2 linked regions of the Lepisosteus oculatus genome follow. Each later gene encodes a partner of the first gene's protein in a complex. Links are inferred from orthologs where the notes say so. Each region holds a gene or a part of one and is shown on either strand. Other genes may lie near its edges. The genes, in order: phf20b and kansl3.

Region 1 (15,801 bases):
TGAATGCTTTAACTCGATGCTCTCCTACAATCCAGGTCATGGAAAAGCTGTAGTTGAAATCTGACTCCTCTTCAAATAAGAAAATTTGACCATAAAATTTGATCATGAAGTCTGGTTATTTGGTTTAGAATTAGTGTACAAGATGAGAACCTTTTTGAAGGAAGATAACTGGATCATTATCCTACATTAAGTTATTTTCCAGAAAATAAAAGTGATTGAGACATCTCTGTTCATAATTTACCCTCCATTTACTGTATTACTGCTTATTCAATGTACTGTATGTGTTTGAGGGCCTTACCTGCTTTTCTGTGGTGGTGTGTGAGCAAGCTTAAGCCTCATTTATTTCATCAGAGATGAATTTATGAAATACAGACACATATGAGACACAGCAGTGTGTTAATTGTCTACTCACAGAGCATTGATTAATACCAGTTAACAATCATTGCACGTGTTAAGACATTGCAAGTCTTTAAAAGGGCTTAACAGTCTTGTGAGTCTTAACATACCTGCAATTAGGACATTTTGATTTCGACTGTGAATTCAAGAAGGTTTTAAAGAGGTTTCCAGAGCCCGAAACAGGCTGAAGAGAACCTACTCATTTCATTGCATTCTGCAATTGAGCTAGCCTACATAAATAAGCTTTTTCCCCCTTTCCCAGTTGATGTGGCTTTGTCTAAAGGACTAGTTTGCTCTCATAGGACTGTAGAATTTTCCCCCTTTTCTTTTACCCTCTGATTGGTGTCTCACATTATGTTAATGTTTAACATTTTAATGTTGTAGAATGAAGGGAAATAGCCTCAACAGCTGGAAGTTGCTCAGACACAACATAAGCACAACGCATTCAATACACATAATTCCTGGAATTCATTTTTTACCTCAACATGTTCACGGCAGGTAAATCAAGATTCATTCATGTAAATACCGTCTGTGAATAGCAATGTCTTAATTACTGTAATTTGAAGTAATGAGGATAAAGATTATTATAGTTTCAGGTGTTAAAAATGCAGAGGAAGCTTTTCTTTTTTGCTGTTGGCTGCCTGTTGTGGAAAACAAACTGATAACCACTCTTCGATGTTTTGTTCATAACGTGTGCTAAGAAGTGAACTGTAATACTTTTAACTGTAATGCCTACAGTTGCCAAGCAACAGGTTGTCATCCCCTCCTCTCCTGCACTTAGCTTTTCATCATTTTTATTTGCTGCTGTTTTCTGTATTCAGATGCTGTTGGCTTTGTCGGTGTAAATGCCTCTGCCGTCCTCAGTACATTCAGTTTGTGTGAAGAGATACAAGTGAGAGACCGTGACAATGTCGGATGCTTTATTTTACCTAATTTCATAAATAAAAAATAAAGTTTGTAAATTTACACAATCTGTGGTGCAGGTTTGTTGTTGTTTTTTTCTGCAGCGTAATTTATGTATTGTGGTAGTATTGTCGGTTCTCAGAAACCAGATGTGTCAGCAGTCATCCAGCCGTCAAACACATGCCCCAGTGAAGAGTAAAAAACAGTTAACTTCTAAATTGGTTCTGTTACGCGGCAGGCTGAACACAAACAATGCACCACATTGAGAACAGACCCTTGCTTTCTGGGGCCATTCTGAAAACACATGCCTTAAGGCAAACGGGGGAAGAGTATTTAAACTCAAAGGCTGCTTGAGATATGTGGCGGATTGAAAATCACATCTGAGAGAGGTGCCTGTGATAATGCTTTGTGAATCCAGTTTTTTTTTCAGATGGGTGTTAACACTGAAGTTTGGGAATGGGGCTGTTAAAAGAGTATTGCAGGGCTTCTACCACGCTTAGTTACAGCAGTTCCTGCTTGTTTTGAAAAGTGAGCTCAAGTGAAGGTTTTGCCTTTTCTCATCTGCAAACAAACAGCTGGCAGAGAACTGTGGCCGTGCGTGTCAGTGATCTGAAGCCATTTCTGGTTTCAGTTTGTGTTTCATTCTTGAATTGCATAAGTCAAAACCATACGCTTTTTAAGTGATGAAGCTAAGTGTGTACATGACAGAAAGGAAGAGCTCTTCATTTTTTTAGTTTTACTAGATTATAATTCCATCTAATTCTGGTTGTATCTTCTCACCGTGTCTAATATGTGGTAATGTTTGAGGGTCTGAGAAGAAGTATATTGCATTATCATTTTGGGTGGCAAAAGATGCACACGCTTGTCAGCTGTGATAATTCCAAAGAAATCGACATGGACGCCACAAACACATAGCCCATTATCTTCCTTATGACAAGAAACTGAGATGCTGGTTTGAACGGAAAGTTTGCTTCAGTCTCTTTTAAAACTTTTCTTTTGCATCATCTCCTACCCAAATCACACATGGCATTACTACTGTCTGGCTTGTACTCACAACACGTTTGGGGAAAAACGACTCATGCCAGCTGACAAATTCGGAAATTCTGCTTATGCTGCAAACCATGGGATGGGGGAAATCTATATACACACTGCCAGCATTTTCATTTTCTAGTAAATGTAAATTGTTCTGCCTGCAGTGTGGCGAACAATAAATACTTGATATGGCTGCTGGTCAATCATGTGGTTTGCCACAAGGCAGCTTACACTGGAGAATTTTACTGCCCTTTTCCAGTTCGTAAGTAGCGGGCTGATTTTTTTCCAAATACCATTATTAAAATGCACAGACAAAGCACTCGCGCGCGGACATTGGAAGTTTGGAAAATACATTCCATGGAAGCATTCCTCCGTGGGTTTCCTAAAGAGTTTTTTGTACATGACGTAATTGAGTGATGGAAAGAATCATCTACAGGTGAGGGGGGTACAGCCGCCCCAAGTGGAGGAGATGAAGTACTCTTGTTCACAAGACAGGGCAGAGGGGATCACGGGATTGACCAGCGGATGGGTGTAGTGGCTGCAGGAGTGTGTTCTCTGTACCAAACCATGGTGTTGAAGCAAGAGCTGAGTTTTTGGACAAGGCTCTCTGTGTTCTCTCTCAATCCAATTCCCTACTCTCACCTGTGGTCACGAGCTTAGCGTAGTGACTGAAAGAATGGGATTGTGGGGACAGGCAGCAGAAACGAGGTTTCTCCGTGGGGTTGCTGGGCTTACTCTCTCAGCAGTCTGGGAGGAATGTGTATGTGAACATTTGTGTATGTGTTTGTACACACATGTGTATGTGTACATTTGTGTATGTGTTTGTGCACACATGTGTATGTGTACATTTGTGTGTGTTTATACACACGTGTGTATGTGTACATTTGTGTGTGTGTTTGTACACACGTGTGTATGTGTACATTTGTGTATGTATTTATACACGTGTGTATGTGTACATTTGCGGGATTGAGAGGAGCCAGTTGAGGTGGGCTGGTCATCTGCTGAGATTGTCACAAGGGCGTCTCCCACTGGAGGTGTACCGGGCACGGCCCACTGGAGACCCCGACTGAGGGGATTCTATGTCTAAGCTGGCCTGGGAGTTCCCCCGGAGGAGCTGGAGACTGTTGCTGGGGAAAGGGAAGTCTGGTCCACTCAGACTGCCTGTTACCATTGCGACCATCACCAGCGGTAAGCAGTTGGAAAATGATGATGATGATGAAGATGAACATAAGACAAGCTTCTGCAGGTACATTGGCCTACTGACAAAGCAGTTTAGGTCATCTTAGTGCACCACATTATCTCAACTCCCCGAACCTTACATAAAATATGAATATACAGTACAGTATATTGAACAGATTCATTTAAGACTGATAAGAGGGTGGGTTTGTGTTAGGGATGTAGTGACTAATATATTTTACTAACGCATACTAAAATCAATCACGAGAAAAAAAAAAACAACCCGCTATGGAAGGTAGCAGAAGAAACGAATTTAAAAAAATATAAATAAATTAAAGTGTGAAACAGATGCCAAATTTGTCAGTATATTATTAATGTCACCATGAGAAGTTACAAAACTCAATTCTCAGTAGTAAAGTCACTCTTTAATGATGTAACCATGACTAAAGATTTCACTCTGCAGACGAATAATGGATCCCTCATGCATTCGATTTTCTATGGCTCAGACAGTGGAGAGCACCAAGCCACTAAATCTAATCTGATTTTACCATTTGTGTTTTTCGGTAAAACAGTGTGGTTTGGACATTTGAATCTTGAAACCCACATTCATAAATCCAATGTATTTACTGCTTTTTTATTTATTTCGTAGTTGTCAACATACGTCTTTTCTAACGTGAAGTGCATTTAAAAGAAATATTTTGATAAGTTGACCCCAGACTTTGCAGCCTTTACTAATAAACACTTTCTTTTAGGGAGGAGTTAATATGTTAGTTTATTGGGTTAGGTGTTTTCTTTTAATTTATAACCATGTTCTCGAAAATGTATTGCTTCCAAATTTTCTAAATTACCGCTGGTACAACACGAGAGACAATATTCCCATTTTTGGGTATTAGTTTCAAGATCGATATAATTTAACAATAAAAAAAATTGAAAGCACGAGCATAGTAATATCATGATCATAGACTTTACATTTCTATTAATTTTTGAAGTACAAATCAGAAAGTGTTTCCCCTACCTTAAATATACGATTAAAATTGTTCAAATAAATATTCATTACAGAAAGCAGCGGAGACAGTTATATTGCAAATAGAAAATATATTTATTTCAAAGAGTACGGGACATTGTGAATTAATAAAGACGTTAACAAATAAGCCAATGTAGTTATTTTGCAAATAAGTAAAGCATTTTAAAAATAGATTCTCATTGACAGTAAACAAGCCGATCCAGCAGGCGCTACTAGCTTGAACAGCTCTCAGACCCGTGATTGGCTAAAACTCCCGAACAGTCCGGGCCGCGATTGGGTAAAGAGTGAGAATCGACACTCTGATTGGATAAAGTGCAACAGCGGAAGTTCCTAGAACATGTAGATACACAGGTGATGGATGTTCTTCGCCAAATACTGTAGCCCTGGTTAACCGTGTGTGCTGCATGAGTACGCTGGTTATAGAGTAACACATCCATTGGTTTCCAATTACTAATCAATCTAAGAGAAGTCGCACTGAGGTCAAAACTGAATAGCAGACAAAGAATGTCAAGGCATCCACAGCGCGTTCACGACTCCAATAGCATGTCACAATAGGAGTGCGCGCATCACGATCACATCCTGATACCCACTGCGACTGGCACATCACTGTCATGCCGCCACTTTCATTAAGTCCATATATCGCGATATCACCTACCCCCGACAAAACGCCCACCCCCATGGCGCGACACGGAGTCCACATATCGCGATATGACAAACGTCACCCGCACCAATGTCGCGAGATGAAGCCCTCATATCGCGATATGACATACCCGGCAAAAATGCCCCGCCCCCATATCGCGACATGAAGTCTATATATCGCGATATGAAAAAACCCGTCACGCCCATGTCGCGACATGAAGCCCGCATATCGCGATATGACCTACCGGGCAAAAAATGCCCCGCCCCCATGTCGCGACAGGAAGTCTATATATCGCGATATGAAAAAACTGTCACGCCCATGTCGCGACATGAAAGGCCCTATATCGCGATATGGCATGCCCAGCCAAAACGCCCACCCCCCATGTCGCGACATAGAGTCCATATATTGCGATATGAAAAACCTGTTATGCCCATGTCGTGACATAAAGCCCGAATATCGCGATATGACATACCCCCAACAAAATGCCCTGCCCCCATGTCGCGACATGAAGTCCATATGTTGCGATAGAACATAGCCATGGTCACGTGATCACCGATAAAAACAAGGCGCTATATATCGGGATCGAAAGCAGCAAACGTAGCACTAACGAATGAGACCGTTTTGGTTTCCCTACGACATTGTAGGGGAGCTCAATGACGTCACGACCCCGGAAATAAAAGGTTTTTATATCTCGGAAACGAAAGCAGCAGAGACGCTCCTTTCAACGGCACAAACTGGCACAAACGTAGCACTAACGAATGAGATGGGTTTCATCGTTTGTGCTTTCTGTGTGGGGGGGGCAACTTAACGGAGCTTTCCTAGACAGCTGGAATACTCCCGTTGTCTGAGCGCAGTATTGTGTGAATTAATCTGTTTCAATAGTTGTTTTATGGCTTGAAAATCAATTATGTGAAATTTGGTTATTCCGTAAATAGATTATGTAAGCGGTTTAACCAGACTTTATTCCGAATTGTTCATTTATTATTACTGCACATAGTTACGTTCAATGGTAGGGTTTCGAATAAAACAGGGATACTACCAAGTAAACAAAATGTTGAGACTGCCCTCTGCTGGGATAATTGGAGAGATGCAGAAGTTCTTTTCCACACAGTCTACTGTGCCAGAAATAATCGGGTACAGAAATCAATCGTAATTTGCTAAAACGATAAAGATAATATTTATAAAAAGTTCAAATATATAAGATATAAGACTGAAAAGTGTGGCAACACGTTTAATCATTTAACCTGTTGCAAACTTCACAATTGTTCATCTTTCGAAATATGCTCTCTATATCTTTAAAATTCTGAGGTTATTTTTATGTCTTGTCTGTTGGGTGTGTTAGAATACATTTTGACTTTCAGAAAACATTAGAAACTTTGCTATAAACCCCCTGTATAGTTTATCTTTGGAGTAGATTGAACACGCACTACCTACGTATGTCCTATTGGCATTAACTTCCTCGTTACTGCATGAGTACTGTAATTCAGTTTGTGAAAGTTTAGTTTTTGACATTATGATTCAAGTAAGTAATACAAAACAGCTCCTTCTTATTCTAGAGTAATAACTTCAGCTCATCTCCAAAAGTGGATGGTATGAATAACCTGTAAGTACTATATACATACATTTCACTTTATTATTATATATGCCTCGAGTTTGGTACGTACGGTTTCTGAGTAGAGATGAACACATCTATTTTATCAATAGCGGCTACTAAAATAATGTTCTAATTACTGATAAACTAAAACCACGGTTCAATCTAAATAAATTAAACGTTTTTATTAATACAGAATGGGAGCATGACCTTTCTCTGCTCAAATAGTTCAGTAACTGAAGGATATTTCTCACTCTACCACCTCCTCTCTCACCGTTCAAGGGGAGGAAAAATGTCAGTATAATCTCATTATAATCGTGTCAGCGTGTCAGAGTTGAGCAGGTAATTCTTGGCTGTAGCGAGGAAGAAATTATGCACACTTAATTTAAGATACGTAATAATAATAATTGCTTACACTTATATAGCGCTTTTCTGGACACTCCACTCAAAGCGCTTTACAGGTAATGGGGATCCCCTCCACCACCACCAATGTGCAGAATCCACCTGGATGATGCGACGGCAGCCATAGTGCGCCAGAACGCTCACCACACATCAGCTATCAGTGGAGAGGAGAGCAGAGTAATGAAGCCAATTCATAGTGGGGGATTATTAGGAGGCCATGATAGATAAGGGCCAATGGAAAATTTGGCCAGGACGCCGGGGTTACACCCCTACTTTTTTCCGAGAGATGCCCTGGGATTTTTAATGACCACAGAGAGTCAGGACCTCGGTTTTATGTCAAACCCGAGGGACGGCGCCTGTTTACAGTATAGTGTCCCCGTCACTATACTGGGGCATTAGGACCCACATGTACCGCACGGTGAGCGTCCCCTGCTGGCCCCACTAACACCTCTTCCAGCAGCAACCTTAGTTTTTCCCATCCAGGTACTGACCTGGCTCACACATGCTTAGCTTCAGTGGGCTGCCAGTTGTGAGTGGCTATAATAATTAAGAAATCATGCCAAAATAAATAAAATAAAAAAAGATTACAAATGGACTCAAGCCTTGTGAGAAAAAAACGGCTTATATTAACAAGAACAAAACGTTATATTATGTCTCAAATATCGTGAAGGAACCAATCCAGACAACGTATAAAAATGATTTGTTGCTTAGAATAACTCTAAAGGTATGAGTAACTTTAAAGGTACGAGAGAGGAGGACAAGCATATATGCTACCCATATAATGCGTGTCAGTGAAAAAGTTCTCACGCTATTTCACCTAGGTCACTTTTTACTTCTTTCCCTTAAGCTACATAACATTTTCGTAGTTTTAATTAACCGCATATTTAATAAACTATCGCATTTCATATTACAAAGCGAAATGCGATTACTAGTAAAATATCAGTACTTCTGTGTAATATGAAATGCGAGTTTATTTAGCTTTACCGTTCAGCATTAGTCAATCAAGACCCGTCAAATTAGAAGCCAAATCAACTTAATAATTATCGTTGAAGGCTGCATCGCTTTTAAAGAATTAAGCGCATAAATGCAGGTCAATTCAGTGTAAGCGTAGCCAGGACATCGCTTTAGTGATTTTAAGTGATCTTACACTCGATCGCTGGCGGTAAAACATTTCCATTTAATTTTAGTATGCCCCCCTCTTCCTGGACAGTCTCGCTGAGAAACCCCGGTACCCCCCAAAACCTTAGCCCTGTCAAAGGAAGACCGGATAGAAGCATTTTACCCCGACCAAAACGTGAATATTTTCTTATCCGGGGGAGAACACAAGCTCTCTTTCCATTCGGACGCGCGGCCGAGCGGACGTTAATAAATATTTTTCATGTAACCGTGCACGTATATGTTTCGTGCACGAAATAAACGAACAAAGAGAAGGGAAATTGGGAATAAAACTCGTCACCATTTTAAAGGAACATTCTACACTTCTTGAATCAGAAAGAGCGCCTGGCGCGCCGGCGCAAGCGCAGAAGGCCAGCAGTCGGAGTCTCTCTCTCCGCTCACACACACGCAGGGAAAATAAACTGCGTGGGCAGCCGACACCGAGAGGGTGGCAGTGCGCTAGAGTCTGGGAAGGAGTAGCTAACTGTACATGCATCATCAGCGGGGGATCACGTAAGAAAATACAAGGTAAAGACCGTTCCCACGTCGTAGCGGGGCTAGGGACGACGTTTTGCGTGCGACTCAGCCTTCATCATTGTTTATTTGCCATGTGAAGTGTTTGTGATGCCATGCATCAGGAGGGGGAAAAAAATAAAGTTGCCGCATGTGTCTCCTCGAGAGTGATGCTATCCTCACACTTTGGAGAAAACAGAAAGATTTTGTCCCGTGAAGGGCAGGTTTGGGGGGTATGTAAGGAGTGGCTTTCGCGATGGTTTGTTTTGCAGAGCCGAAGCGTTGATGTAATTTTTTCCCGATGATTCGGGGGGGAAGGTTTTTTTTTTTTCCTCCTGTTTTCTGGGAAGTTAGTCCCCTTCTCAGTTCGTGTAGTAATTACGGCAGACTGATGTGTGCAGGCCGGAGAGGCCCCGGCAAAGTCGGCCGAACGATTGACAAGCGGCTCGTCCAATCAGGCGCCTCGAATCCGCTGCTGTCAGAGCCGGCAGCCAGTAAGCTTCTCTGAAATCGGCAAACGGGCGGAGAGTATCGGCAATGTGGGGTTTTACTTTTCCGTCTTTAAAACACCGAAATCCTGAAAATACTTTGTGTTTCTAAGAGCAACGTCCACCTTGTGCTTAGCGAGGACATGCTTTAGCACGTCCCGCTGGCTTCTCTGTGGAGTCGGAGGTGATATTTTTTTCGTGGTTGGATCCACGTTTTTGTGCACGCAGGAAACAAAACCCAGGCGGTGCTTGCAATAAAACGGTTAATCCAGTATCTTGGGTTGATCCATAAAACAGATCTTGCGGCGCCAGCGGAAGTCTCCCGACTTCGCAAACCGGACGGCACCCCGGTTTTAGAGGGGGGTTCACTCGTCCAGGAGCCCGCGGTAGTGGCATAAACAACGGGCGAGAAACGTATTGCGCGCCATTTGCGTCACTCCGCTCCCGACTTGTGCTCGGCAGCTGCAGTGATTGTCCTCCGGCTCCGCAACTTGAAATGCGAGGCTCCGGGTCAGGGCTCGGTGACACACAGCCTGCCCCACCGTCTTACAACGGCGATTTGCATTAGGGCCGAGGAACACCTCCGGTTTGCAAGCCTGGGGTCACACGTGTGCTCCTGCTTCACATGGCGCATATTGTTCTTTCCTCGGCAGTAGCTTCCCGAGAGGTTGCATCTTCAAGCCGGCAGAGAAGTGAACGCAGCGTCTTGTGTAGCTTCTTTGAAAACCTGGAGCTGACGACCAGTGCCCCCTCCTTTTCTGATTCCCAAATAATACTTTAAAATACAAAAAAAAATAGTATCTCAAAGAGTTACTTTTATTCAGGCTTTTCTACACTGAATATATCAAACGTTCTATGTGTAGCAACAAAACTAACTGCAATGCGATTTTTACGTTTATTGGCTATATTACAATATCAGTATAAAAAGCTAATAATTATTAAAACGAGTAGACAGTTGGAAAGTACACGTGACTGGATGCTCAGATTCTTACTTTAATAATACGGGAGCTGTGCCTTTAACACAGCTACATTTGTCAAACCTGTAGTTTTTAATAGTTGGCTGATAAGGTTGGTTGATAAGTTGAAGGGTTGCACTATCGTTGCTATACTATTGAAGTAATTACTAGTTTTCGACAGTGTTTCTCTTTAATGTTACGTAATGAAAAAGATGAGCAGAAGGTTCCAGATGGGATTGCAGGCTGTCTTGGACTCAAACGGTGTTAAAAATAAGGGAACTTCCCGTGTGGGTTGGTTCGTTCTTCAGTCGATTCACTCCCCTGAGCTGAAATGAAAATGCAAAGCTTTCGTTTTTAGGAAGTTGCCTGCCACCTGCTGTTATTAGATAGGAAGCTCCCCCCCTTTTCCTAAAAGGCAAAGGATAGATGCAGGATATTCTTTTAATGTTAATGTTTCTTTATTAGCCCTATACAATTTCTTGCATTAGGAATTCGTCTTTTCGCATACCCCAGCTTTTCTCCATGGAGACACAGACACACAGACAGGGAGAGAAGCTTGGGGTCAGAGTACAGGATCAGCCATTGTACGGCGCCCCTGGAGCAGTTAGGGTTAAGGGCCTTGCTCAGGGGTGCAGTAGGATTCCTCTGCCGGCTGCGGGATTTGAACCGGCAACCTTCCAGTCACAGGCACAGATCCTTAGCCACAGAGCCACCTCTCCGCCCAATTCATGCCACTGTCGAGGGCGTGTGCATGAGTTTTTTTCAGGTCCAGGACTCCGACTGCTGTTAATTAACAGCAAAGGACGTTTGGAATTGCAGAATCCAATGAAGGATGCAGTGGAATCCATTACTTGTTTATCCGATGCACTTATCCAGTACAGGGTTGTGAGGATGGGGAGGTGAGCTGGAGCCTAGCCCAGCAAGTGAAAGGAGCAAGGCAGGATACACCCTGGGTGGGATGCTTGTCCATCACAGGGCAGATACACATACTCACAACAGGGCCAGTTTTCACAGCGGCCAGTTCACCTACTCGCCGAAATGTAGTGTTTCTTACCTTTCAGCATGGAATGAACTTTCACCTGTTCCTGCATGCTGAATCGGCTCCCTGCTAGAACCCCTTCAAAGTAGAATTGAGCAAAAACCCCTGCTTCCTTCAGCACTGTGTCCCTAATCACCTTTCTGAGATATTGGTTCTTGGTAATTCCTGTTTATAGTGAAGAGTGCCACCTACTGGTCCACAGACAGCTTGCAGTAGCAACCTGGCTTTCCTTGGAGGTCTCCCATCCCAGTACTGACCAAGCCCAGCCTTGCTTAGCTTCCGACATGCAGAACGTCAATCAGTCACCTATAAATTAATCAGGAGACCTTTGAAGGAACTAGTGACGGAAAATAAGCGGCACCACATGAAATTACAGCAATGTAATGAAATAGCGGGTGAGCCCAGGAGAACTTCTGCAGGGTGGTGGAGGAAGAAGGACCGAGACCTGAGCAGAGAAAGACGTCTGCTGCTAGCAGAGCCAAAGAGATGCCACAGGGGGACTGAACAGAGGAGTGGTTATACAGCAGAGCTCTTCAGTCCTCCCCAGCTTCTGGTTCATTGCTTCATTGGTTTAGCCATGCACAGGATGATCAATCAAGCCTTCATAAATTTAAGTTACAGTTTCAACCCTTTATTGTAACTCTTCCTTGTTGCCAGTTCAAAGTGTTTGTCATGTGGTGCATTACGAAGGTGTTGCTTAACATTCCCTGAACTTGTCTGTAAACTTATTTTGGGAGCTTTTTTTCCTTCAGTAAAGCATAAGAACAGTTACAAACAAAAGTAAGTGCCATTCAACACAACTAGGCCTTATGGCCGTTAGTAGCTAAAAGATTTGTTGTATTCTGAAATAGGCCAGGATATTGGCTTCAAGAACATGGGGGGGTATTTCACACTCATTGTGTACAGAAGCACCTCCTGTTCTCATTTCTGTTTACCTCATTTTCATGCTCTTCAAGCAGTAGAGTTCAGACAGCTGAAAAAGAGGAGTTTTTTAAAATAATTTTAATGTTTAATCAACCAGTATGTGTTAATTATGATCATAACAAGAATCTTGCCTCATGCAGTAATGTAGAGTTTGTCATTGTGAATTGACTCTGAAATGACTTCAGGATATAATCAGGAACACCTCTTTACAGCTGCTTATATCAGTAGAGGCTGGTTCCCTTGAGGCCACAGGCCACGCCCACTGAAAACCTGGAAACACAACATAGTGCCCTCTGAGTGAGTCGAAGGAAAAGGCGACACCTTTGTTTTTTCGTGGGAAGTTTGTATAGATATAATCAGTTGCTGATATCACTGGTATAAAAGCCAGGAAAGCAGAATGTGTGTAAAAATGAGTCAGTGACTTCTGTCCTGATTAAACACTCATATTCTTAGCCCTGTGCTGCTTTCCTGTCTGAGCACAAACAACTCTTTAAGGTTGATAACAGGGTGGAGACTTGCTGCAGCATGCATTCCAGGTGGCTTCTTGTTCTGCAGTGTTCCCACGTGGAAAATCCCAAGATATTTCCTACATAATTAGCCATGTCTTCCTTCCCAATAACTGTGCGTGTGTTTGGGTGAAACCCCCACTCTATCCAAAAGGGTTGAGGATCGTATAGAATTAAGGCATGTGTAGTTGTCGTGTTGTAATTTAGACACAATAAAACAACACCGCTACTGAAGACTGTATACTAAACAAATTTATTATGATGACTGTGAATGCTGGAAACTGTATTTGCAATTAGGAGAATAATTTGAAATATTTGCCTAGCCATGTGGGAGGACTGAGCCCGATGTGTGTAGTTATACTGTCTTAGTACTCTATTTCTCATACCACACATAATTTATCTCTATACGCACTATATCTTTATTTTTCTGCATTTTAAATACGAGAAGACATTTATTCACATTCTAATGTCATTTCTGCATTACAGCAGTATACTGTTGAAGTGGTCAAGAGGATTTTGATGTTCAATCTTAAAACTGTTTAAAGTTGTCCTTGAGTGTTATTTTCCTTTAACAGTGCTCTGTTAAAGCTGTTAATATCTGCATCACAGCCACAACAGTGAAAGTGGACTTGAGAGTTGACTCTAAGGGTTTCTTCCTTTAAAGAGTCCCTGCAGACACTGCATCCTGTCATTCCGTAGCTCACACTCATGGGTTTAGGATGTTTTCCTCCTTATCAAAAATATTGCTGTTTGATTATGTCGACTTATTCCAAAGCAATTTCGGCTGGAGTATTTGCTATTGAGATGTAGACATTTTTGCACAGGTGAACCCCTACATTTTAACCCATCACGCAATGAAATAGGCCTAGACCCTCAATCTAAAGGCGCTGAAGTCCTTTCGAAGGGCCTTCGAGATTCGCTAGCTTCGGTTTTCTGCAGCGTCGACAGAAGAGCTTAACGTTCTGTGGTAGACATCTTGGATCCCTGATGCCTCTCAATCTTCGTCACCTTGTTGATCTTTAATTACTGCTTCTTGGCCTGTCGGCTGCCTTCTGCCTGCTTTCTTCCCACTGCATAATTGCAGAGGTGGTGTCACAGTGATGTCTAATTAAAATAGCAGGGGAGACAGGACTCTGCTGTAGGGAGTGAAGAGACAGGTCCAAGGCACGCAGTGGGAGTGTGGCAGTTTCACAAACTGAAAGCTGACTTTCACCCTGTGTGGCTGCACACGTTAGTGCTTTGTGTACTCAAGACCTGGTGCTTATGACAGTTCCACAGTGTTTGTATTTTTCCTTTACATCGGTTCAGCAATTATAACTGTCAAGCATTATATGTATAGTCAAGGACAATACCTCTCACACTTTCCTCTGATCATTACCCAATTTCCATTGTTTCTGGACAAAAAAATTATAAAATTTACTTTATATGTCATTTTTAATGGTTGCCCAAAATGTCAACGGTTTATTACAGTATATACATTTTCCAGGATGTTTCTTTTGTGCTATCTTCTGGTATGTGTAATGGTTTTTAATCTATTATTTCATGTAAAACATGGTTCTGAAGGATAGTTATCAACAGAATAGTCAAACAGTAGGCTCCTCTTGGCACAGCATGTTACTCCGTACAAGCGGTAAATAACATTAAGTTGCCAGTCATACTTTTACTTTTATATTAAAAATTCAATAGAAAAATATGAGCACAAGCTTAACAGTAATAACTGAGATCATCAACATCCAAAAGGCATTCACAGAAATTCTGTTAATTTTTTATTGTTTTTAAAAACTTAGAATTACATTACTTAGGATTTACAGACAGTGTTAAAGCTGCTAACATAAAAGCTTAAAACGTTGTAAAAAATGAATTTAGCATCTAATTAATTATTGCTCAAATTGACGTGTTAAACGAAGTAACCATGGGCTCAGATAGAATACAAACCAGGAGGGGACTGGGAGGGAGAGGCTGGGATTTGAAATACTCTCTTCAAACAGGGTGGTCTCATCCCAGGTCTTCTGTGTCTGCAGGTTTGTATACACACTCACCTCTTAATGACACAAAGCAGCACATTATTGGTGAAAGGGCACCAGTGTGCCAGCTTATTGCAGATCTTCAGGTGTTGGTGCTTTACAGAGACCTAGAAAGCTGGCAGGCACAGTGTCCCAGGCCTGGACCAACCTGCTGCTGTTTAATCCCTGCTGTGTTCTCTGTCTGATTCTCCCTTCCCTTGGCTTGCCCTGCAGTTTTGAATGTCAACAGAATGAGCAAGACACCACCAAACAGGAGGGGAATTAAGTTTGAGGTGGGAGCTCAGTTAGAGGCTCGGGACAGCCTGAAGAACTGGTGAGTTTCTCCTTTTCTCCCCCCCCCCCCCAAGTTGTTCTGAGATTTATTTCCTTTTTTCCTTTATTTGTTTTAAAAACTTTTTACACGCTAAAACTGGACTGGCGTGCGGTGGATGTCGGTGACCGACTAAAGCGCGTTTTGCCGGCTCGTGCAGGTATGCGGCGAACATCGAGAAGATCGACTACGAGGACGAGAAGGTGCTGATTCACTACAGACAGTGGAGTCACCGCTACGACGAATGGTTTGACTGGGCCAGCCCTTACCTGCGGCCCGTGGAGAGAGTCCAGCTGAGGAAGGAAGGCCTACAGGAGGACGAAGGCGTACCTGTAAGTGTGTCTCCAGAGGAGTCCCTGCGCCTCATCATGGCTGCCTCGCAGCGCCTAGATCCCTGGATTCGAAAGCAAAACCTCTCCTAAACGTCTCTTCTGCTCTGCCGTTAAGAGCAGCCATCTTCAAAAAATGTCTGCATCAGGCCCTGCGTGAAGGGAGAGGGCAGCTGGTGCTGTTTGAGACCTGCTCTCTCTTTTACAAGAACCTGCAAAAGGTCACAGACGTGAGGTAGCTATTTGGCCCATCGTCCTCGTTTCATTCCTAGGAGCGTAGTGATGAAAGAATCTACCCCTGTCTGTGAGAATTTCACAGACTCCGCTCCAAACACTTGAGAGTTCCCTCCAAACTCCCATAATCGTCTGTCTCTTGTTTTCCTGTCTTAAGTG
Region 2 (16,066 bases), on another chromosome or scaffold:
CACAGTTTTTCAATAATTTCAAACACCCGTTCATAAGATCTGTAGAAAATGTTGTCTGTAAGCAGCCCAATATTCTTTTCCGGCGTGATATCCAGTTTGCGGTTGTGTGGAGGAGAAAATACTACCTTTTGCGTTATTCTTTTGAATCCATTCACGGTGTTCATTTTGTGTTGTTCTAAAAAATAAGCAATAGTAAAAACAGTTGTAGTACATACTATATGTACTGATAGTAAATACTATGTTAAAATTAGTTTTTTGACTCAAGGAGTAAATCGCTTGCCTCTTTTACACTACACATGGCAAGTAAGCGAAAGGCTTGCAGACCACTCAATAAATCACAGCCCTTGTCTTGTGCAACTTGAATGTGGTATTTCCAAGCATAAGACATTTTACATTTTCTTAATCATTACAAAGGAAGAGCATAAAATTGTAGAATATTAATGCTAAAAGGGCAAAGGAGTGGGCATTAAGAAATAATGCTCAATTGATGATGTGTACAGTATATATTTGCTTGATGCAAAGCTTCTATTGCTTTAAGGATCTGACATAAGTGCTCATCATGCCAATAGTGTATTGTATTTTTGTATAAAGGGAATATTTAAATTCTTGTAATGCTTTAAATATTTTCTACTAGGATGCTAACCATTTAAGTCTGGTGATGTCTTCTAATTACTAAATCAGACCTTGTTTTTTTTATCTGCAAGAATCCTCCCCAGCTTGTCCTGCCTGAAACATCAGCTGAAGTATTGTGTTATGTTAGGATAGTTAGAGTAAAAGCACGCATGCACAATTCAGTAGCTGCAAATTCCTCTTCTAATTCTGATGAGTAACAGAAGATTGTGAAAAGAAATTTGTTTGCCATGTGGCACATCATGCACCATTACCATCATGTTAGCAACAACTTCAAATCTGCTCCATCACAACGTAATGGCAGCATATTTTGCGGTTTTATTTAGAGGACGTTGAGGCTTAGAACATGAATGCACTTCAGTTATAAGGCTGTATTCAAAAGGTAAAGTCTAGTTTTCCTTCCATTCTTTAGTGTTGTATTATGAAGTGCACTGTTGTTAAGGATGGGTTAGGTAGGTGGCTGTGTCAGCACGCTGGCTTTGAAAAGACACTACGATTCATTTCACATTGTGAGTCTGGAAGGGAAATAGGTTAGCAGGTGATTGATTTTCAGCTCTGCTGTTATTAGCTTAGACTGTCATGCTGTACTGCTTAGTTTAGAGAAGAACAGCAGGACTAATCCTGGGGCTAAAGAGGAATGAACTATGAGGACAGGCTGAAACCTCCATATAGCTCAGCAGCAAGATTGGGTTAGAGAGATCTAATCTGAAAGAGATACTGCAGTTGCTCCACATTTTACTTCCAGAAGGGTTTGGGGAATGGGAGAGTCATTAATGGAGTTTCACTTAAGCACATTGTTTAAGCATTTGGCTGGTTTGTTCACAGTTGCATAGAGAATGCAAGGACAGAAGGGGCTTGCCTGTGTCTTATAGAGCCAAGAAAGGTTTAGGACATGGAAAATCTAGTTTTCTGTTTTCTTTTAAATTTAACACTGCCAAATATTTTGGTTTTATGCCCAGAATTTGGAGGTAAGCAATTCTCACACCAGCCTTTGAGAGCCTGTCCTCTTAGACCTGTGTTGTGTTGTCATACCATCCATTTCTTTTCACACTTCTGTTGTAAATCACATACTGAAGAGCTGTCATGTTGTGTGAAGAATGTGTAGTTTTTCTGTCACTGGTATCCCCAGACAGGGGTTCCTGGTTAATGGCAGTGGTTCTACCAAGTCTCACCCTGCCCTGCCCTGCCCTGGCAGTACCCCACCAGCTGTGTGCCATTCTTATTTGCCTTTATCCCTGTGCCTGTCTGTCATTATCTTGTTAATTAGATTTGGTTAGGGGGTGATGGGGTTATTTGCCTATAGACAAGTTAAAATGATTGGACGTTGTGCGGGTTGTAAATTCATAACATCCTTACAGACTTCACGAGAATGAATTATTTGATTAAATTCTTGTTTTAATCAATAAATAAAGATATGAAATTCTCCCTTGGAGAAAGAATCTGCGTTTGTATAAAATACAAATACAGATGTGCAGTAACAAAAAAGCACAGAAAAAATATTAAAAGTGTGGGATTTTTATAACAAATGCACCCTTTTTTGTCTTCAAAATTAGTATAGAGCGCATAGCTTCTTAATTTCTTATCATCTTTATACAAATGCAGGTAATCCCTCCATAAATTGTGATAAAACATGTTTTCTGTGGTTGGTTTGCCTGTATTAGAACTTCTTGCATTTCAGTAGCACCAGCTAGATTAAAATAACCTCCACTGCATAATTAAGCACAGTGTCAAAACCTAGGCTGTTGTGCCCTCTAGCGACAAAGACACAGATTTCAGTTTTTATACTTGTATTTAAAGATTTTTTTTGTACTTTGTTTTTTAATGATTATACTGTCCAGCGACCTTTCCTTAAACCAAGAACCTCCACTCAGGTCACAGAGAGATGCATAGTATTCTGTTTTTTTTTTCTTCCAGCCCAGCTTTCAATTACTGTACCATTTCTATGTCCATTATCAGAATGCCATTTAATACTGGTGTCACAGCAACCTATGAGCATTAGGCTCAAGGTAGAGGTCCAGCCAAATGCAGTAGGTTACTGTATTTCATTGCAATAAATGTTTTTTCAATTACCCGTTTGATTACTCAAGATTAAAGAGAGCTTTAGCCAATTATTTTAGATGCTTAAAAGCAATGAAGGGCTGAGGCTCCACAGGAGTGTAGTTGGAGACTGTTGCCTTAAAGGTTGCTGTCAGGTATACCCGTTAGCTCTTGTGTAGACTTATTTTACAATATTTCACACAGCTGATGTTAGAACTGTGTGTTCAGATGCTGACCTGATAGAGTCAGTTGTAGGAATCCCATTCTTTGTGTGTGTAGGTGGCAGTATTGTGGTTAAAGTGCACTTAAAATTGTGAAATTATTTGTATTTTAGACTAGTAATTCTTTAATTGGTTAACAACTTAATTTGTATATTATTTGTATTTTAAGGCAGTAATTATGTTTTGATGACATTTAATTACTCCTTTATCTTTGCGTTCATTGGGCTGGAGATAATGGAGCCTTGTTGTAACCCAGAAATTGTTACTTATATAAGGATCTTCCGGTTTAAATTTCAACCATGCTTTCCAGGTATAGCAGTTAGTGATTTATCGGCCCTAATTAAACATGATTAATATTAACTTTAGCCTCTGATTCATATAAAGCTTTGAAGGACTGGGGCTCTCGAGGATCCTGATTGAAAATCACCATTAAACGTTTACTGCATTTGTTCATACACAGCGAACGAAAAGGAGACGTTTAAGTTGAGAAGCAAGTCTGAAATTCTCACTCTGTAGCAGATTTTAAAATGGATAGAACTCATCCGACCAACTTGCATAGAAAATAAATCTGTTTTTCATTATGGACTCAGTCCAGAGAAGCAGTTTGTAGTGTTAAAGGCCTTTGTTTTCCATCGTGGGCAAAATGCTCTTCCCAGCTGTCAATGAACTGTGGTCAGTTTGCCACCAATGGAAACAAACACACTTTGTTTTTCATTTAAACTGTGATTAAAGGAGTATAGTCTTGCTTTTTTTATTCTGCGGGGTGTCCTGATCACATACACAGTTAGGGCAGGAAATAAATTTGACAATCCTGTCAGAAATGAAGTGTGTTCGCACTTAGCGAAACCCCTCATTCCTGTTTGGTTTGTGGATACTGTGAGCTGTTGCTCAAAATCCCGAAACTACCAAACACGTGTGTGTGTGTGGTGTTATATAGACAGATCATTGAAAACAGCCCACAAAACCAGTTTGGAGACGGTAAAATTCTAAGGAAAGTAATATAATTCAAGCAGAAGCGTATCTGTTAATTAGACTACTGCAATCCTAAAGAGTCATAGTCTGGCACCTTACAAAAGTGCTGGGTTGGACCAGTTGAGACAATAATTAGCTCACAGGTCTGGAGATAGACAACACTACACTGGATGAGTTTTGAGGCAGTGTTGCCTCTTTGCCTCTTACAACTGATATGTTATTGCTATCCAGGAAGGTGTATACCGAAACGTTTTTTGGATCAGGTAGATTTTGATCGTTGCTCATTGTGGAACCTAAGGATCTGAGTTAAAAACCCACTGCCACATTAATTATTGTGCAGTTGGTCTGTTTTTCCGAGATAAACGCAAAAGCATGTAAGGTATTTAAAGTTTAATGCATACACTGCAATTAGGAAATTAAGAAGCTGTCAAGAGGTATGATTAGTAAAGGTAAAGCGAAGAAAGCTTTTTAGTTAAAGCAAACAATAGAACTGGCTTTAACATTTACCGTCTTTCTAATTTTATACATTTTATAGTACACGTTCTGCAGATGCATGGCTGTTTGAAGTTTTGGTCCATTGTCCTGAGTAGTAAAACTGGTTTGAAAATATGACACTAATAATAAAATGATAAAATACCCATGTTTTGAAAATATTAGGCAAAGCCAAAATGTCACCTGAACTAGATTTCCATGGCAGGAACTGGAAGGGAAATGTATTTTTAATCATTATATAAAATTTAGTTTTATATTTAGGGTGAGTGCTTGTAATTTCTTGATTGCACTTTGTATATGTGTGTATGCTGTTGTGCAGCTATAGGCCAGAGACCATATGTCAAATAGCACTTCGGAGCAATATGGATGGCCACTTTGACAAATCACCAAGTTTTCAGGTCTGCAGTGGCCCAACATTTAAAAATGCCTATAAAACCTACGGGACTGCAGTATGTGAGCAGACTTGTGCAGTACTGAAATGCAAGAGATCTCTCTTCAGACCTTTGAGACATACCAAGCAGGCCAGGTGAAAACTGGTGTGGATACCTTAATATTGAGGTTTTTAATATTCTGTGTCGATATTACGAGATGGAAGAATGTTAATGAGGGTTTTGTTTTTGTGATATATACAGATATATATGTATTTTTAACTTATTTCTACTAATGATTTGGTAGGAGGCCTCTTGTCAAGTGACAGAAAAAAGCCATGCAGGGTGATACGTATTCATTTGAGGAAAAATGTGTCCTCAGTATTCAGATTCCTCCTTGGTATGAGATATTTCTGCCTTGCTTGTCATATTTGCTCAACTAAATGTTTCATGTTTATGATTCAGTTATTTTTAAACTGGATGCCACTGATTCAGAACAAACTGAAATATAGAAAATATTTTTCAAGGATTAAAGCCTTTTTATTGTTTCAAAGAATTTTTTCATCTATTTGTGTTACAGGACTGAGTCAAATAACCCAGGTGCATTTTCTCATCGAGTTTTGTAAGCTTTCTCTCCCCTGTTTAGAAACATTTGGCTCCGATTTAACTCCACTGCAGTGTTGTCATTTACTTTGATGCTGCCTAAGCACCTGTGTTTTACCAAAGTCACGCAGCATATTGCAATTTCACACTTCCTTGGTTTGTCAAGTGGAAGATGTTAAAATGTCAAACTGCATTGCGTTCTAATTCTGCTCTTTATTTTATAGTGTATAGGTGGGCAACAGTATAAAAAAAAGATCACAATGATTTTTTGTTTTTATTTTATCAGTAAACAAATTGAGAACTTTTACAAAGAGCCATGCTTATGATAATACCTGCAAGTCAAGACAACATCAATGGAACAGAAAGTGTTCTATGTCATTAGCTTGGGCTTTGATAGCTGATGCTTTGGGGGGCTTTGTCAGATGAAGTCTGTACACTATTATAGACCTTCTATGAGGTATTGTGCTGGCAATGTTGTGCTTAAATCTTAATTCAGGTTGTGTATTCCCACCAGAATACAATTTGTCTGTGTTGTTGCATCTTTAGCAACAACTTACTGTTCAGTGAAGTTTAAAATACCTTGTATGTGCTCATCTCTTTCTCAATCTCCTGCACTTTATCATTCCTGTAACCAACCATGGTAACACTCTCTAGACGAGCTCTCTTTCCCAGAGTACCCTTGGCAAATTTGTATCTTGCTTTATATATTTTTTTTATTTCTAGTAATTTAGCATGGTGATGAATGCTTTCAATAACTTGAAAACCAGGATTGTCAGTTGTTTCGTCTTTATTATTGTATGAAAATTAATTTCTAAAACAATACTGTAATGAAATTGAAATGTATGCCTTGTAATGGGTGCTATGAATGTTTTGGTTCTCACTTGTGTACTTTTGGTTCTTCATCATGGGATGTATTTTCCACTAATTGGTTTCTGTCTATTGTTGTCTCAATTCTGTTGATAAATGATACCATGTACTGAGCTAAAACAAACTTTGTTAAACTGTCTTTTTATTTGGCATACATTTAACATTACTTACGATTAAATTTTTCATTCATTTTAAATGACAATTTCCTAGTTCTTGCTTGCATCTACAGTATATCATACCCCGTCTTTAAACTTGTTTCTCACCTGATAAACCTCTGATGATTTCAGCTCCTTCCTTTGTGCTCTGTAGTTGTTAATGAAAAATGTTTCACATTCATTGGCTGAATTCACGAATTGATATTTATTCCATTAATGCAGTGCTTTACAGAATCACTCCCAGCTTACATTTAAAGAGCATAAACTAGCGCTTTCAGACTGGGTTACAAATCATCAAAATAATTAGTGATCCTAATTTAAAAATGTTAAAAAAAAACTTGAGAAAGTGCCAAAGGAGGAGGCAGTTTTGAGGAGTCAAGGGGAGGTACTTCATGCAGTGTGAGTTGTGGGTGGATGCAGCATGTTCCCAAGCCATGTTGAAGCAGCTGATTCACTGGGTTGCTCCAAAACTTGTCCAGCTCCTTCTACCTCCTGATAGTTATTAAAAAACACCTCAGCCCTCACTGTAAAGCATACAAATTCATGCTTACAGAAAACCAGTGGAATTTAATATTTGCATATAGCTATAAGATGTATTTCATTTAATCTGATTTTAAATGGGAATTTGATTATTTTTCCTCAATGTGTACATAAAAAGCCAACACTATTGCCTTGCTCAGTTTGTACACAGAGATACAGGGAATATTACAGGTACTACAAATACTTTCTCACAAACACTTGCTAACAGTTTGATGCCTACTGTCCTTCATTTTCAAACCCTACAGTACCATGCTGTGATCCAGTGTGCACTGAGTGCCCGCAGAGGAAGGAGCTCCTCTGGCCACGGTATGGTCGGAGCATGAGGAGGAACACTGGCTATCGCCTCCTCAACTAGATTTAAGCAAGCACTGTGCTGGAGAAAGATCCCATAGTTGAGCCTACAGGAGAATGGAGAGTGGTCATCACCACCTCGCAGGCCCAAGCTTGAAGAGCAGGTGGATGAGGGCAAGACGTCTGTGTCTCTACGGCCCATGTCTGAGCTACAGGACAGGATCATGAGAGGTCACTGCTGCCCTGGCCGGAGCCTCAAGAGTGTGAGGCAGCCGCTGTGCCAAAAGAAAGGGGGCACTCGTGTAGACACCTGCTGGCTCAGGAGGGGGAGGTAGTTTGAGAGCGGTAGATGATGCCACATTTCACACAGCCGCCAGAAGGAGAACGCCAGGGGGGGGTGCACCCAGTTCGCACTGCCTGCTGCCCCCACGTCTCTGCATCTGTCACGGCTTCGGACTGGCAAAACCTGCTCTTCCGTCGGCTTCCCCGGTGAGGAGCAGGACGTCGGGCAGGGTGGCAGGAGGAGGGAAGAGGGATCTTGTCTCAGCTACATCTCCCAAGTGCCCCTGTGGGGAGAGCAGTCTTCCTCCCTCACCTGGCAGGTCCGGAGATGCAGGCTGGGTTCGGCCACAATATAAACCAATAGAGGAAGCCTGCCTTCAGGGAGCAGGGAGCAGGTCCTGGGCTGTACAAACCGCTTAAGGGAAAAATGGGCGCCAGAGAGAAACAACCGCAGGACTGAAAGAGTTTTAACAGCATTTTGGGAATGTGATTTGTTTAAAGCTGGTAAGCAGCTTAGTTGTCCACTGAGTTATTGAGGAATTGAAGGCATTTTCTGGTTATCCGTAATGCTCAGTGCATAAAGTAAAAAATGGCGAACGACGTCTATTCTACTTATTTTTTTGTTTTGCATGACACTCACGTTCGATTTCTGCACTACCGCCGGTATTGATTTATCCCTTTATTTTCACTTCCACTTATATTAAGGCAGGGATATAAATCGGCTATAAATCCAGCCTAGTGGGGCCCTCTAGTGGTCAGGCAGTAGAAATGCCTGTGCCATGCTGGACGGTGATGCGCAGATCGGACAATTCTCAAACGTCCAGCAGAATCCCGTTGTGGAAAGATAGTTTTTGCTGTTAAAGTGCTGTGGAAAAATATAGAACGCTTAGAAATACACTAAGTATACCAACACAACTTGCCTTAAAGGTAAAAGGTTTAGAAGAAATTAAAAATAAATGTATAAATGTTACATTTTCTCGAATGCGATAAAGGTAATTGTCTTAATTTTCTCATTATAATAATATTGCTTTTCACAAGAGAGTAATCTGGTATATGACTGTCCACAATTCCAGTACATACAGTTTTCAGCACATAAGACAGATACCATGATGACAATATAATTTAACATACTATGTCGTGCAAGTCGCGTTGTTTGTGAATATATGTCTAGAATCATGTTTTACCTTGGTATTTTGTAAAATGTGACTTTTCTTCTAAAGTTTACATCGAAAGCTTTGGAATAACTTGCTACCTTAGTGTTTATTAAAATGTAAGTTTCATTTCTTTGCTATCGTTCCCTGCAAGAGGAACGGAGGGTAGGCGGGTCTTGTAAAAACACGGGAATCCATTTCGTATATTCCAAGTCTCCCGGCAGCAGGGTCGCATCCTGACTCCGGATCGCCTGAGAAAATCTGTGCCGTATTTTCAAGCAGGCCCTCCAGTGTAGTGGCGCGGTTGAAATACGAGGAGAAGAAAGGCCCTTAACAAAAACAGAAAGCAGTCATTAAAAGCAACGGAATGCGAATAAACACATTTCAAAAACGCATTTAAACAGTGTACAAACGAGTTTACACATCTGTTCTGGACGCTGGGGTCACGTTTTGGGATTACACTTCTTTTACGGTTTCTTGACACAATGACGTGAGCTCATCTTCTGGGATGCCGCCAGAAAGTAAGTGTTTTTATAGTATAACGATAAACTCTCCTACGCATTGTTTTCACCAGCTTTGCCCTCACAAGGACGTCAATAACCATGCTTTGTGATATCTGGACAGTTCTTTTATAGAAATGAATCTTTTCAGTACCTAGGCCGGCAGTCCTCGGGTTTTCTTAAAAAGAGCACAGGACCTGAGCGTACCCTGCCTCGGCTTGAACAACGTCTCGGAGCCGGGGTCTTTTTTTATTTGCCTGTCGAGTCTATTTTCTTGCCTGTTACAGTAACAACAACAAAAACAGCAACACGCCCGGTGGCTGATTTACTAGCCTTGACAGTGTCCTTCTTCGTAGTTTAGGGAACGTTCAGGTGTTAAAATATAAACTGTAAATGTAAGTTGTATATTGTATTGTTGCCTTTGTATCCAGTAGTGTGAAGGAAAGTTTAACCCTCACTGTATTAAATATACAGTCTTTGTCATTTAATGCAGCACTGCCCGACCTTTTACAAATGCCCCTACCCCCAAAAAAGTCTACTTAATGACCGAGTTTAAATTGGAGATTCCAATCACAATTTAATTTTCACTTTCAGAACATGTGCTTTTCTATTGTACCGACATCAAGGACCCAGCAATTTGACTTACAATTTTTGACTTACAATAGTAAATAAATCGTGATTGAAAACATCATCGTGCGTTAGCATTTTAATGGTGCAGTAAAATAAATCCAGGCAAATCTGGGGATGGATATTCCCATCAAATCAATTCCTTTCGTCAGAGATTCATTATGCCCATTTGCTCTTACCATAACTGTTGCTGGCGCAATATTCATGGTCAGTAAAGATTAAACTCTCAGAAGTGTCCCAACAGGTCAACCGTGGACTCACCATCGAGATTTCAAATCAATTATTTTGGTCCACTCGTTATTAAGAGGGCGTCATTGTTAAGGGCCAGGGGGAAATTTGGCCAGGACACCACGGTTAACACCCCTACTCTCTTCAAGAAACGCCCTGGGATTTTTTACTATCCTTGCAGAGTCGGGACCTCAGATTTATGTCTCATCCGGAGGACGGTGCCCTTTTTAACAGAATAGTGGCCCCCTCACTATTCTGGGGCATTAGGACCCACACAGACCGCAGGGTGAGCGCCCCCTGCTGGCCCCACTAACACCTCTTCCAGCAGCAGCCTCAGCTTTCCCAGGAGTCTCCCATCCAGGTACTGACCAGGCTCCCACCTGCTGAGCTTCAGTGGCCTGCCACCAGTGGTGAGTTGCGGGGAGATGTAGCTCTTTGGAGAGCAGGTCAGGTCTGCGCAAGGTAGAGGTTGCAGGTGGGCAGCTGAGGCCGGCGAGGGCAGCGTGTGACCGTGTTGTGCCCCGTGTCCCTAGCCCAGCCTTGTGTCCGGAGTGCCCCCTCCCGCTGAGAGCGTGCGCCAGCTGCCCGAGAACAATGTACCGCGGCGGGGAGCGGGACTTCCAGACCTCCGCGCGGCGGATGGGCACCTCCTTGCTCTTCCAGCTGTCTGTCCACGAGCGGGAGCTGGACCTGGTCTTCCTCGACCACAGCTACGCTAAGCCCTGGAGTGCCCACCCGGACGCCAGCAGTGCCCGCCCTACCCGCATGCTTTTTGTCACGCCTCGGCGCCAGCAGGACACCACCGTGTGAGTAGACGCTGCACCGCAGTGGAAACCCCCCCTGCAGTATTACAGCTTCTCCTGGCGGTATACAAAGTAGACAGCCTTCATTTAAATGACATGTATAATCACTGTTGTAAGACCAGCTTTAAGACCAGCTTTTAGACTGCCCTGTCTCCTGTGCAATTGGTTTGTATGTTAATTGTGTTTCACAGTGTGGCAATTACAGGACATGAAATATGTACCCCATGTTGTGTGCAGACTGGCAAGATTCAGGCTTTATTAGTTGCATTGAAACAATCCAGCATGCTCACAAGTTGAAGTTATTCAGATCTTGATTTTGAGTGCGTCTGTACTCTTTTCACACTCCTGTGATTTCTTTGGTTGTGATTTGCTAGAACGGGGGTGGATTTGCATTGCCCTACTGTTCTAAAATTACATTATTTTCCCAATTAAAATAACTTGTTAGCATGTCACAGCGCCAGTGTTCCTGCATACGTACTTGCTTATGTGAGTTTTTTCAGTTTAAGTTGCAGCACCAAGCTGATGTGAGTGATAACTTTACATCAGCAGAATTTCCTAGAAAAACTTTTAATTACACTCCTTCTGCTGCTACAGTTGACGAAAAGTGGTGAGCTCAGCTAATTTGGAACAATTGGTTGCAAGGTGTTACAAAGCGTGTCTTTGAGTTTTGTGCCACATTGCCATCAAGTCACGCCAGGGGTTGGGGGAGCGTTATTAGAGGAAGCATGAGCAGCGCAGGACGTGCGTTATGAATGTGGTTGCAGAGAGACGGACATGCCCATCGATGTGGAGACGGTGACGCCCACGCCGATGCCCCTGTATGACAACCAGAAGGCGCGGAGTGTGATGAACGAGTGCGAGCGCCACGTGCTCTTCGCCAGGACCGACGCTGATGCCCCTCCGCCACCGGACGACTGGGAGGAGCACCTCAACAAGTAAGAGCCTTCAAGCTCCTCGTGCAGCAAGCTGAAGGGTGGAGGACAGTGAGCACCCGGGCTCTGCTTCACGTGCAGGCCTAAACTAATCGCAGTTTCCGACACCTGCCGAATGTAAATCAAAGTCGTACTGGGATCGACAAGAAAGAGCTGGGAAGTTCTCCCTTGGCAAGAGGAGGGAAAGGTTGGGTCTACATTGTTTTAGAGCTGTAGCCCTCATCAGGTTCAATACACGAGTGCTAGCCTACAGAGCTTGCAAGAGGACAGCTCCCATCTCTCCCGACTCTTGTCAGGCCCTGTGTTCCTGCTAGGACTGAGATCTGGTTTTTCAGGCTGGCTGGCAATGCCAGTACTGAGGTGTAGCGAGTCCCAGGCCTGCTTGTTCTCTGTGCTGGTCCTCCAGTAGTGGAACTACCCATCTGCGGCAGTCAGAAACATGGACTCACTCTCCATCTTCTTGAATTTCCCAGAAGAAACTGAAAATTAATCTGTTCAGGGTATACCTAACCTCACAAGCCGTGTCTAACCCTCACTAACTCTTGTGACTCTTTGCTCGTGTGTTGCTACTTCCAGTCTATCAGGCTGCACTGTTCAGCATTCTAGCAATGCACTTATTGTTTTGTGCTACTGTTGTATGCACCTGTTGCATCTTGAGTGGATGTGATTGTAAGTCACTTTGGATAATAGCATCTGCCATTTGAAAAATGTACATGTTTTGTACAGTTTTTCTTGATTGCATATTCACGTTTTTGTAGGTTTGATACTTGTTCTCTGTGTGGAAGTGAAGAAAAGTAATTTAGTGTGTCTGGCAGTGGTTGTTATTAATCACCCATCCCACTGTGTTCCAGGACAGGCTGGTCCATGTCTCAGAACAAGCTGTTCAACAAGGTTCTGAAGGCTCTGCAAGCTGAGAGACAGGCTCGTCTGGCCAATGAGGGGGTGAGATCTCGAAAAATTGGGCTGGGAGTGGGCGCATGCACTCTGGAACCTGGATTGACATTTCTTTCCAGATTTGCAAGGCTTTTTATTAAGAGTGACATTTATCACTCTTTTTTTCCTCCGTCTCACAATAGGTGTCAGATAGTGAACTTTGGGTTATATAGTCTCTCAGGAGCTTTCTATTACATGATACAGCAGTAATACAGTAACGTCAGTAATTCAGAGCTTTTGAAGAAGGCTCCACGGCCAAAACTTTGTGTTTTCTTTCTTCTCTTTTCAGCATGGAATAAACCTATTACTTGTTCCATTATATTGATTCACAGTTTTCATTTTGAGATTTATTGTAATGCTTTCTCCTTTGAGGCAGAGTTTTGTAATATGCAAAAATAAATTTGCTCTTTTATTTTTTTGCTTTAGACAAGTTTTTAACAGAACTAAAATACTTATCCTCATTCATAAGGTGGTGAGAATGTAATATGCACACCTTGAACCGACTTGAGTACATCTGAGCAATTCTCTCAGTTCCTGTCTCAAACTAGTTTTAAGTAGTTAGTATTGCAGAATGTTCAAAAATCTTTTTCTAAAACTTTACACTGGTACAAACATAACTTTCTGTTTATAAATTGTATATAGAGCTGGTGAGGATTTGAGACAGATGTTTAGTGTGTTGCCCTACGTTTTAATAGAAAAAAGTGGCATATTTGAAATCTCAGTAATCTGAAAATAACTAGAAATAAGACGCATTTACTTTTTTATGTGTATTGTTTGGATTGTAAAATTTGTGAAATCATGGATAAGAAATAGCTGACATGTATAAAAGCCGTAAGAGAATACAATAACCGTTTGAACGTCTTCATGTGAATGCTCGAACACCAAAAAGATCGATGATATATTGGAGCAATTGGAAGGACTCGGGAACATGATTAATTGTCTGCTATGGAAGTGACATTCCCAGCCTTGCTATTCCCTGTGTCCCCTCTCTTCTCCTCAGGCGTGTAACGAGCCAGTTCTGCGGCGCATCGCTGTGGACAAGTGTGCCAGGAAGGTGCGCCATGCTCTGGCTAGCATCAGCTGGGACACCAAGCTCACCCAGTGGCTCCACACTACTCTGGTGGAGTCTCTCAGTCTGCCAATGTTGGCCGCCTACCTGGACGTGCTGCAGACCCTGAAGAGCAAGGTGAGCTAGTGGCACTGACTTCAATCCTGAGAAAATCTGGGATATTACTATGTTACTATGTCAGCCACTGGATAATTTTCGGCGCCTTGAAAATAAATGGTTCCTAATCATTATTTCATACAATTGCCTGCTATATTTTTAAGGACCATATGATATATTTTCTGGTCTCGTATGGAATTATTAAAGAGTTACAAGACTTTTTAAATTGCATCAAATGGAAGATTCCCTTCAGTTTTGTTCACTGTAAATATTAGTCAGATTTTACTAATTGGGGATTGAAGGTTTGTAAGACCCCGTCACGTATTGTACAGTCACGACTTTGCCCTAGCTTCCTAGCTGGCACTTTCCTCCACAAGGATGAGACAGACTTCTATGAAATCTGTGAATTTCACTAGAGAGAATGTTGTATAATAATAATTTGTTACACTTATATGGCGCTTTTCTGGACATTCCACTCTTAAGTGCTTTACAGGTAATGGGGACTCCCCTCCACCACCACCGATGTGCAGCCCCACCTCGATGATGCTCCAGTACTCTCCCCACACACCAGCTATCAGTGGGGAGGAGAGCAGAGTGTTGAAGCCAGTACATAGATGGGGATTATTAGGAGGCCATGATTGGTGAGGGCCAATGGGATATTTGGTCACCAGGGTAACACCACTACTCTTTTTGAGAAGAGCCCTGGGATTTTTAATGACCACAGAAAGTCAGGACCTCAATTTTCTGTCTAATCTGAAGGATGGTGCCTTTTTACAGTTTAGTGTCCCCATTACTATACTGGGACATTAGGACCCACACAAACCTCAGAGTGAGCACCCTCTATGGGCCCCACTCTCACCTCTTCCAGTAGCAACCTTAGCTTTCCCAGGAGGTCTCCCATCAGGTACTGACCAGGCTCACACCTGCCGAGCTTCAGTGGGCTGCCAGTTGTGAGTTGCAGGGTGATGGAGCTGCAGGCATTAAAAGGCTAGGATCCACCTCTCTGTGTCCATTTGTAGGTCCCCACATTAATCGACCGGATGCTGTTATCTTCCTCGGTGAAGACCGGTGCCACAGGGGCGGAGGCGCTGTCCCTGCTGCTCAAGAGACCCTGGGACCCAGCAGTGGGCGTCCTGTCCCATAACAAACCGGTATGCTCCTCTCCCAGCTTCAGGGTGACCCATACTGAACTGTATTCAAGAAACATAAAGATGGTCTGCTCTACTGTCTCTAGGGGTTTCAGCTTGCTTAACTGATAACCATGTTCTGAAATTTTTTTTTATTTGGTTGACCCTGAATAGTTGTTACTGTACCTAAAATTACTTGAGAACAAACTAGCGTGCAAAATATGGTTCCTGCTGATGCTGAGTCCCTTGGCTGTGTACGTTTTAACTTAGAACAAAAGTTCATGAACCTTGCCAACCTGTCGGCTCTAGCTGCTATGAAAAGAGCTTTGACATTGTTGCCGTGAACACCACAAAGAATTTCTATCATGTCATTCAACTTCAGCGTCTTCACTAGCAAAACTGATCAGTTGTTGCACAAGTCATGTAACACTGGAGTGCCTATATAGAAAAGCAGACATCTTTAAAGTTTTTGATTGTGACATGTTTTCAACGTCTTGCGTTGTCAGTTTAGCTTTAGCTTTTGATTAGAGCCATTCTTTCTGATGTTTGAGTGTATGAGTTACTGCTGAAGCTTCAAAGCATTTCTTAAGTTTTGTTTTCATTGACGATATTTTCAGAGTAAGCTTCCTGGTTCGCCCCTCATCTTGATTACGCCCTCAGGGCCCACCAGTCCCGTCTTCACCACTTCGCGACGCCTCCGCTTCTGGCAGTCCCAGCTCTCCTGCCTGGGGAAGGTCAGTTGGGTTCTGCTCCCTTCGGCACATGCAGCAGACTCTGGGTTTTCTCCAAGAACTTTTTTCAATGTCACAGCTGGGTTACAATAGAGATAGATAGATAATACTTTATTAATCCCGTAGGGAAATTGGTGATAGTCTAAGGCTGCCAGAAAAATTAGCCAGCTCCTTGCATGAAATGACTGAAACGGGAAAACTCTTTTAGTATTGTATGAGTCATCCTTCATGATGTATCAGGAAAATAAAGAAATTCTTTTGTTCATGCAGTTTTTGCGTTATTTGAACAATGGGAAGTAAATTGAATGGATTTTCCTAGTATGGTCTATAACCACTCCTGCTGGAAAGCCTTTATTATGAACCAGATATTGATTTTGTGGATTTTATAATGCTGTTGGGTATTTTTTTATT

Evidence for each region.
Region 2: phf20b (region 1) and kansl3 share a complex: the UniProt entries of both Homo sapiens proteins name them as parts of the NSL complex. The link is inferred for Lepisosteus oculatus from reciprocal best matches to the Homo sapiens genes PHF20 and KANSL3.

Annotation. Positions count from the first base shown.
Region 1 is NC_090711.1:7,197,976-7,213,776, reverse strand, and holds the start of phf20b (PHD finger protein 20b), read left to right. Parts: upstream 1-8,761; 5' UTR 8,762-8,847; intron 8,848-8,921; exon of another isoform or gene 8,922-9,065; intron 9,066-14,982; 5' UTR 14,983-14,999; coding exon 15,000-15,082; intron 15,083-15,239; coding exon 15,240-15,411; intron 15,412-15,801. UniProt on the Homo sapiens protein: Methyllysine-binding protein, component of the MOF histone acetyltransferase protein complex.
Region 2 is NC_090697.1:73,307,798-73,323,863, forward strand, and holds the start of kansl3 (KAT8 regulatory NSL complex subunit 3), read left to right. Parts: upstream 1-8,862; 5' UTR 8,863-9,130; intron 9,131-10,497; 5' UTR 10,498-10,558; coding exon 10,559-10,770; intron 10,771-11,531; coding exon 11,532-11,702; intron 11,703-12,550; coding exon 12,551-12,641; intron 12,642-13,632; coding exon 13,633-13,818; intron 13,819-14,816; coding exon 14,817-14,948; intron 14,949-15,541; coding exon 15,542-15,658; intron 15,659-16,066. UniProt on the Homo sapiens protein: Non-catalytic component of the NSL histone acetyltransferase complex, a multiprotein complex that mediates histone H4 acetylation at 'Lys-5'- and 'Lys-8' (H4K5ac and H4K8ac) at transcription start sites and promotes transcription initiation.